2 linked regions of the Arabidopsis thaliana genome follow. The protein of the gene in region 1 interacts with the protein of each later gene in a pairwise test. Each region holds a gene or a part of one and is shown on either strand. Other genes may lie near its edges. The genes, in order: AT2G35900 and ATG8F.

Region 1 (4,331 bases):
CATGTCATCATCGACGTTGTCCCCGGTCTTGACGAGGACACCATTCAAAGCTATCCAAAGATTCTCTACTCGGAAGCAAAGGGACCAACAACGGCGTCGTGTTGTGCCATTTGTTTAGGAGACTACAAGGGAAAACATCTGCTGCGGCAGCTACCAGATTGCAACCATCTCTTCCACCTTAAATGTATCGACACGTGGCTTAGACTCAATCCTACGTGTCCTGTGTGTCGGACTTCGCCGCTTCCAACTCCTCTGTCTACTCCCCTCGCCGAGGTTGTCCCTTTAGCCTCCTCCGTGGCCGCCACAAGAATGTCCTAGTGATTTGTTTATTTTATAACCGAAGAAATCGAAATCTTGACTAATCTCCGGCTTAAACTCGTTATTAATTCTTCTTTTAATTCCTTGTAAATTTGTTATTTTTGGTCACTAACTGATCACTGTATATACACTCTTCGAAGCCGAAGATTTGTAAGAGAAAGGAGGTTAAGGATGAATTTTTCACAATTTTGTTGGATTAGTTTTTCTTTAAGCAATGTGAACGAGTTTATCTATACATACGTACCAAGAAAGAGTAATTAAAGTCGTTTTGAATATTGGCAAATATGTTTCTTGGCTTGTATTGAACTTTGAGAGATCATTTTAAATATTGAGACGTCAAAGAAAAAAAAAAGAGTTTGAGGACAAGTTGGAACTTAAGATAATGGGATCGAATCAATTAGGCGTTTTTGATAGTCAGTCTGACAATCTTTCTCAATCATATGGTTTATTTATTAGCAATTTTTTTTTTGTTAAACAAAACCAGATATTTAACAGCGTATTTGTCTTATTGGGTAAACCGTTAGCCAATACATATGATGATATGAGAAAAAGACTTTTATGAGGACCTTAAGAAAAGATATAAAACGTTGATTAAGAGATATAAATCAAGAAGAAAAAAAACACTTGAAAACGATTGTTTTTGTCTCCAATCTCAAGCTGGCTGAAATTAAGTAGGTGAGATGATAAAAATGAGTTGACCATGATAAAACTACTCTTATCTTATTTAAAGTATTCGGTAAACAAAAATATTACTCCAAATATTAGGAACCATGATCGAGAGAGAAAACATGGTGAAAAGCTCAATTTCTCATTAATGATTCAAAGAGTTTGTTACAATCGTTTATAGTCAACAGACTCAATAACCAGAAATAACCAAAGATATGCTCAAATTCATTTTTACAAACACTCAAAAGTGATATGCTCTTTCTCTCGGCTCTGTATTCCTTTCATAACAAGACAAACCGAGGTCGTTCAAACCATCATCGGTAACGTCGAAGGCTTCAACTTGAAGCAATGATGCTGATTTAAGACTTATTGTGCTAGGCTTCTTAATATTTTGGCCCATCTGCCAGAATTAATGATGAATACTTTCATATTGGGCCCTGAGAAATTGACTAAGACCCAATTGTTCACAGCAATGTCAAAAAATTTACCCAAAAAATCTTTCTTTCCCATCTTTTAACTTCAACTTTTATTACTTTTTATATAATCTATTTTCCTTAATAAGAAAATTAAATACTGAATAAATTCTAAATATTTGATACATTCTAAACATTTTTATTATGTAATGGTGAATGTCTAAGTATTTCTCAAAATTTTAGTTACAACTCTGATCTACTAAGAAAGTATCTATGAAAAAAAAGAATAAGATACAAGGTAATAAAATGAGTGGATCTTAAACGCGAATACAATAAATCAAACAATTTGAGACGCATCATACGTTAAAAATCTATTAACCAGCGGTCTTCCGGTTCAGATTGAGAAATTTGACTACTTTAGTTTGGTTTGATTTGGTTCAAACTTTTTTCCGACCCGTGAAGAAAAAGAAAATCCTCACGCGCCGGTAAGTCGGTTTCACGAACAAAGAGGCCTGAGTATAAAAAAACAAATCGGACGCTTCGAGTTTTTCTTGAGGAAGAATCCACACACACACAGAAGAAGAATCTCATCACGAATTTTAGCTATGGGTTGGATCTGGATTGACGATTCATCCGCCTCTAAAGCCGGTGCTGATCTCACCGATAAACCGCTCGGAGATTCTGCCGCCGCCGCCGAAAATTGCTCCACGACCACGGTGGTAAGATCTCAGTGCAAGACGGAGGAGGTCGAGCCTGGAAAGTTCGTCAGGAAATGCGACAAAACAGAAGAAATCCTCCGCCACTGTTTTGGGAAGTGAGTGTTTCGGATATTTTCTCGCTTTTGATCATAACCCTAATTAAGCAAAAGATAAGCTTTTAGATTTTGAATTACATGTGGAAAACAAATCTCCAGGGTTTATAGATCAAATAGATGAAGTGTGTTTGTTTTGAGCTCTGAGTTAAAAAATTTTGACGTTTTTGTGGTTATGTAAAAGCTAAAAGCCAATAGTTAAAGATTGACTCTAAATTTGTGTTTCTGATGCTAAGCTTACTAATATGAATTGCAGAAAGATAGTTGTGTTTATGCACTGGAATGGTTACATTGCTTACTTCTTGTGGTTTGATGTTGTTTTCTTCGAAAGGACTCTCTATCACTGAACCATTATGGTAAAAATGTTTCATTATAAAAGTTCTTATGATTTTATCATCTTTGTAGTGTTATAACTTGCATGTTTTTTTTGGTTAAGTAAGTGGAGCAACTGCTGGTTAGTCTTTTTTGGGTTAAGTAAGTGGAGTATTCTCATATAAGAAGAAGATGCATAGAGTATCACATCACAGTTTCTGTGTATTCGGCGAGCTTCATGTTTGTTTGTTTGCTACCTGTGATATGAGTTATTCCATGTTAAATGTAATGCTTTCCTTTGGAAGACAACTCTTGTTTTCTTTCTCGCCCTTTCATGTGTGATTTTGAGATTGAGCCATTAAAATGTTCAAGCACCTTGATTGTTTGTTACCTTTCGCGCCTCTAGACAATCACTAAATCGATTTACCCTTGGTTCTGTATCTGCTTTAGGCCCTCTGAAGTCGTTCAATCCAACACAGAGCACACAGAAGAGGATGTGACAGACCAGATGGTGGGAAGATCCGCTCTTCCGAATCAGTTTGAGGATAAAAACCCGCTAAACTTCCCGGGACTCCGCAGAGATGTAGACGCCATCGAACGCCATTTCTTGAGCGGAATGAAGAGTTTCTTTGATGCGGCTGAAGAGATGACAAGCAGCTTATTTGATATCATGGGAGACCATCACCCAAGCACCAGGAGAGGAGGGATACCCATTGAAAACCATCCCAAGGTAGAGGAGCACCGCAATGACGAAACTGCCCCTACACGACCACACTCCTCTGGCGAGATTGATCTCTCGGGCTTGGCCAAGGACGTTTGAGAAAGGTCGTCTGCTTCTTCTTCTTCTTCTTTTTTTTTTTCACAAAGGTCGTCTTGTTCTAGCTTTTGGCATATATAATCTTAAAAATGTAATGTGACTTTCTAAGAAGCGTGGGGATTGTAGTCTAATGTTAGCGGCTTGCACGTTTTTCCGAGTGGGTGCTACTACTATCTATCAATATCATCATACTACTATATTACTATGTGTTATGCTTGTGTCTTTTATTATCACTTTGTCTTAAAAGTTATTTTACATTTTTAAACATGTTACCTTATACAATTCGTACCTTTCATTAAATGGTAATAAAATAATAATGGTCAAAGTAGAGTGATATGCTTGAGTGGAATTAAAGATTTGAAATCTAACCTTACGTTTTTTGAAAGATTGGTTACCATTTTGTGGCATGGAGTAATTTAGAAAATAACAAGAAATATACTTTTTTGGTCTTCAATTGAGTTTGAAGATTTTTCTTAACAATTAATTAATTACGGAGTTTAAAGGGACCAAATTGTTAATCAATGTATTCACACAGACACTAAATAATCTCTAACACAACCTCACAGAGTCATATGTTAGAGGAGAGAATCAAACAAGTTTATTTAATTGAGAAAGGCCAAAAACCCTAATAAATCCCCCCAAAAAATTCAGTCACGACGTGAGACCCAATTCCTTTTCGTCAAATCATCTTCCTTCTCAATTCCCATTTTCTTATTCTTCGTTTTTCATTTTGTGCATTGTGTGTGTTTCTTACCAAAGGAGATGATTCGTAGCATTTTGTGAGAATTGATTAAATTATTCAGCCGACCTCGAGATCTTTCTCCCTTAGATCAGAATTCATTTGTGGGAGATTTATCTGTCTTTCTTCATGGAAGTGGTTATGTTGTTAGATAGGAGAGATCTTTGTCTCTATGAGATCATGTTAAGGGTTTTTTCTCTTGCGTGAAAAGGAAGGAAAAAAAGGAAGAAAAGGGACTTTTCCTCTCTATCTTTT
Region 2 (4,848 bases), on another chromosome or scaffold:
GTAAATTGTTGGTTGCATGTTTATACTGAATTAAACATTTGCTTCGAATATTTTAGACCAATAAAAATGGTAGAAATATTTTGATCGGTTGACATTTTTGACCGAGAATAGTGGTCGAAAACATCTTACCAAAAAGTGGTCAAAACTTAATGACCAAAATAATGGTGAATATTATTTTTTACCAATTTTCGACCATATATTTCAATCTGACTAACTTATATACAAGATTGGAATATAAGTATAAATCAAAATTCAATTTAATTCTTAAATATTTGATTCATAATAACTTAATAAAAATAAAAATATAATTTAAAATACACAAAAAAACAATACTTTTATACAAGAAATCAATTTTAAAATTATTTGATTAACAAATTTTAAAAATATTTGAGTTTTTGTTTTCCTTAACAAAGTTACCATGTGACTAATATATCTCTCCAATCTTAAGAGTTGGAGTTTGAAACTCTTCTTAACAGAAAAACTCTTTCATGAATGCGGTAAATCTGGAGCTACATGTATAGGTATGTGGAATGCATTTATATCAACCTTAGGCACAAATAGTGAATGCTTCAAAGCAATCCAAGTCTTTGAGAACATTCCTTCCACCTTGATCAAAACTCACTCAACATTTTGGAACGTGATGGTAACTTGTACACATGCTCGACAAACTGAGTATGGGCATTATCTTCTTGCAAGGATAGTCAAGACTCTATGGATAGAACCAACTATTGAAATAATGGGGACATATTTAGACGGCTTGGCTAGAGGAAAAGTGATTGATGAGGCATAACGAGTTGTCAAGACTTTGATTTTCAAGCCTAACTAGGAGATTGCTGTGAGTCTTTTATCAAAGTACAAAAGCCATTCAACACCCATTGAGTTTGCTAAACGTTTTGTGAGGTACCTTGAAGAGAAGAAAGTCACCTTCTACATTGCTGGAACGACTTATAAGGTACTAGACGAAGATGGGGTGGAGTGGAAATCTAATGTCAAGATTAAGAAACAGAAGAAAGGAAAATCCACAATCCACTCCCATTAGAGCAGTTCAAAGTACTATATATTGCTGCACAGCTAAATCATTCGTCAAAGGCATTTCTTAACCATGCTATTTGACCTGAGGTTACGAGAGTAAGGATATAATTGTATTGATTGTTTTGAAACAGTGAAATAAACATGAAAAAGTGCAGTGAAATAAACATGAAAAAGTGCATACTCCCACATATGTGCCCCATATGCTCTAACAAACTTGATAAGTGTCATACGTAGTGAGATACCCTTATATTTTTTTTAGCTTTTTATATACTATTGCTTACAAACCTTATTAATATAGTTAAATAATTAGGGTGGGCATCGGTTTGGATTAAGTAATGATTTTGGATAATGATTAAAAAATAATTTTGATTTTTTTTTCAACTTCAGAAAACTCAATCTTAACTTTTAAAAATGTTTATGTCTTTTCACAACTATAATATTTTATATCTATAAGTAAAAAACTTGTTAGAAAACTTATCTTACTTTGATAAAAGATTCATTTTGATTAATTATCTTTGTTATCCTGTAAATTCTCGGTTTTGACATTAATCACTCAATTCCGGTATTTTAATAAATTACAAAATGAGTTTTGTGCAGTGTTGAAGATATATTCTCAAATACAGTAATTGCTTTCAACCCTTGATTTCGAAATGCCTAAGCTTGAAATCCTAAGCTGTCCATACACCAAGACCTACATCTCCAGATCTCTATAACAGTCATAAAAAAACTTCTGCCTATACTTTATTTATTAGTTTTCATATTTCCATCCGTTTATTTGCAAGGCCCATTACTGCACTAGGCCCTACATTTTGTTAGAAGAGGCAAAGCTTATAAGCGACATTCTCAATTTCCAACTATTACCCTTCCGAACTCTTCACCTAACACACATTTTCTAGGGGTAAACGTGTCATATCGTATGCAGAAACGTGATCCCAGCATATCCGGTTCTTCTTTATCCTTTGTTGGAGGCAATATCTACGTAGACAGTTACCTCGTACACCTTCAGTAAAATGGACGGTTGAGATTCCTATTTCAGTAAATAGCTAATATCTACCGTCAGATTCTCACTGAACAGATTAAGCATACAACGTCAGCTGAAGTGTTTAGATGTTACCATACACCATCTGTAGAGAATCTCTGACCTTATCGCATAATTTTTTAATGTTTTGCAGAATTTTTGTAGGTTGCTTATTTGCTTTTTCTTTCATATTTTTTCGTTAATTGTTGTTGTTATCTTCAACGATAGCGTTGTGCTCTGGAGAAGTGTTTGATCGCAGAAAAGCTTCGTTCTTTGTAGTCTACAGGTTTGATCACTGAGTTCTTAACTTCTTTTTTGGTTTGATTGCGATCCTGTACTTTCGTTTAGATTACTTAAAGGTTGGGTCTTTAACATGATCGACTGATAGATTTGTGGGAATTTTGATAATCTGAGTTCCAGAGTTTGGGAATTGATGATTTGATTTGAGTGTTAAATTTGTTTTGATGGTTGTCTGATTGGTGTCACCTATTTGTTATGTGTGTGTAGGCGTGGAAGGAATGGCAAAAAGCTCGTTCAAGCAAGAGCATGACTTAGGTTTGGATTTGAGCTTTGTTCTTGCTTTACTGTTTGGTCCTCGAAATCAAAACCTTGTGCTTTGATCTAATGATCCTGTTTCCTAAATCTTCAGAGAAGAGAAGGGCAGAGGCTGCTAGGATTAGAGAGAAGTATCCTGATAGGATTCCGGTGAGACTTTCAGTGTCTCTCTTATACATTGATCGATCATACATTTCTAAAGTTATATGTGATTAGCATATTGTTTCCCTTTCTATGTTCGGATCAATCTTTTGTGTTTGACTGAGTTTATGCAGGTTAAGTTGTTGTGGTTTATGGCCCAGCAATATGGTAGTAATGAACTTATTGGGATATAATGAACTTATTGGGATAGCATCTGGTTTTAAATGGACACCCTACCCGACTAAAGGATGGTTATCAAGTTATTATTGTTTGATTAGCTTCATGCTTGTGATATATGTTTGCCACTGTTTCAACTACATGGAGTTGATTGAGTTATAGTGACTATAACAACATTAGGACTTTGAATTTAGTTGTCATTTTTTGGAACGTGACTTTCTGAAACTCGATTCTTACTGAGTACTTACGGCTTAGATAAGTAGATTTGCATGATTCATGTGGCTACGTGCTTTATGATTCACATGGTAAAAATGACACTTGAGATGATGATTTCCACGCATTTATATTTTTGTGGGATCCAGGTGATTGTTGAGAAGGCTGAGAAGAGTGATATACCAACCATCGACAAGAAAAAGTAAGCATATAAATGGCATCAGTATCCTTTTCATTCGGACCTGACTTGTTAATAATAGTGATTGATAACTAAGCTTTTTTCAAATTTGCAGGTACCTAGTCCCGGCTGATCTGACTGTGGGGCAGTTTGTGTATGTCATTCGCAAAAGAATCAAATTGAGTGCAGAAAAGGCTATCTTCATATTCGTGGACAATGTTCTTCCTCCAGCAGGTAAACAGATAGATCTCCTCTGTATTCAAGACTCAGGAGTTTCATTATCTTTTAACACAAGTAACAAGAGCATAAGAAGGCGTCTACTTATATGTTCCCCGGTGATTATAAATTCTTTATATTTGGCTGATCTGATCTGGTAACTTTGCAGGTGCGCTCATGTCTTCTGTGTACGAAGAGAAAAAGGATGATGATGGGTTCCTCTATGTCACTTACAGCGGAGAAAACACATTTGGATTTGGATCTCCATAATAGAGACCTCTTGCTGGATATTTCATTTTACTCCTCTCTATTTTCACCAAATATTTCATCTTCTTATTAATTACTAAGCAAGCAAGCCACCTATGTACTTATTCTCTAAGGACCTTTGGTCGGGCGTTAATATGTACAGAAAACATAAAATAATGTATATAATCTTCTTTCAAGGATCTAAAAACCTACTTTAGGTGAATCTATCACATCTCCCTCTTGACTTTGTTGTGTTTTTTTTGATGTCTTCAATCTATAAGCCGACATAACACGTCGCTTATGGCACATGGGCCATGACAGTTCCAAATTGCAAAGCCTAAGTGAAGAGAAGTTATATCACCAAACTCAATAGAAGTGCAAGCACAAGGGAACTGTGCCACGTGGCAGACATGGTCGGTACCGGTTGAAGGTTGGCCGGCGACGATCTTATAAAGGTCCCACATTGTCGTTGACGGAGAGAAGGAGGAGACGGTCGGACCATGCTGGCTTGTTTCTCATCTTACACTTTTCAATATTGATTTTTGTTTCATATATTTATTTGTTCACAGTTTTAGCTCGATTTATGATCGTCAAAGATTGTAATTCAAGGTTCCAACCGGTCACGTGGAACATGAGAGACGCGGTTGTGTTTTTGGGATTTTGGACCATTGAAGTGAAAGTTGAATGTAAAAGCTTTTCATAACTTGTGAGTGTTTTGTCCAAAGAAATCAATGTCAAATAGTGTAGTGATAAGAAGGTGATCGATTAGGACTTAAGAGAGTAAACACGTCGGTCATACAATAATGGCGTGGATGAAAAAGGTGAAGAACCGGAGAATAAGGTGAGCAAATGGAAGAAAGGAAAATGAGAATGCAGGAGATGATGACCCCACGAAGACTCTCAAGTAGACAAAAGGTTTGGCCGATCAAGACACCCATATACATACGATAGATATGTATGTTGAATGTAAAATATATTTGAATAATAGACAAGAGAGAAGATTAAAAAGAAATAAAAGAGAAGAGGAACAAGAGCATGTTATGATAATGAAGGACCCCTCCCCCCACCTGTA

The links.
Region 2: the proteins of AT2G35900 (region 1) and ATG8F interact in a two-hybrid assay, tested with the Arabidopsis thaliana proteins (one large-scale study listed by BioGRID).

Annotation. Positions count from the first base shown.
Region 1 is NC_003071.7:15,069,212-15,073,542, reverse strand, and holds AT2G35900 (Mal d 1-associated protein), read left to right. Parts: upstream 1-1,713; 5' UTR 1,714-2,002; coding exon 2,003-2,211; exon of another isoform or gene 2,212-2,490; coding exon of another isoform or gene 2,491-2,564; intron 2,565-2,970; coding exon 2,971-3,340; 3' UTR 3,341-3,671; downstream 3,672-4,331. Other genes in the region: AT2G35910 (RING/U-box superfamily protein), read left to right, coding at 1-318.
Region 2 is NC_003075.7:9,305,834-9,310,681, reverse strand, and holds ATG8F (Ubiquitin-like superfamily protein), read left to right. Parts: upstream 1-2,143; 5' UTR 2,144-2,336; exon of another isoform or gene 2,337-2,557; 5' UTR 2,558-2,568; coding exon 2,569-2,605; intron 2,606-2,699; coding exon 2,700-2,755; exon of another isoform or gene 2,756-3,192; coding exon of another isoform or gene 3,193-3,285; coding exon 3,286-3,338; intron 3,339-3,429; coding exon 3,430-3,548; intron 3,549-3,699; coding exon 3,700-3,800; 3' UTR 3,801-4,343; downstream 4,344-4,848. UniProt on the Arabidopsis thaliana protein: Ubiquitin-like modifier involved in autophagosomes formation. May mediate the delivery of the autophagosomes to the vacuole via the microtubule cytoskeleton.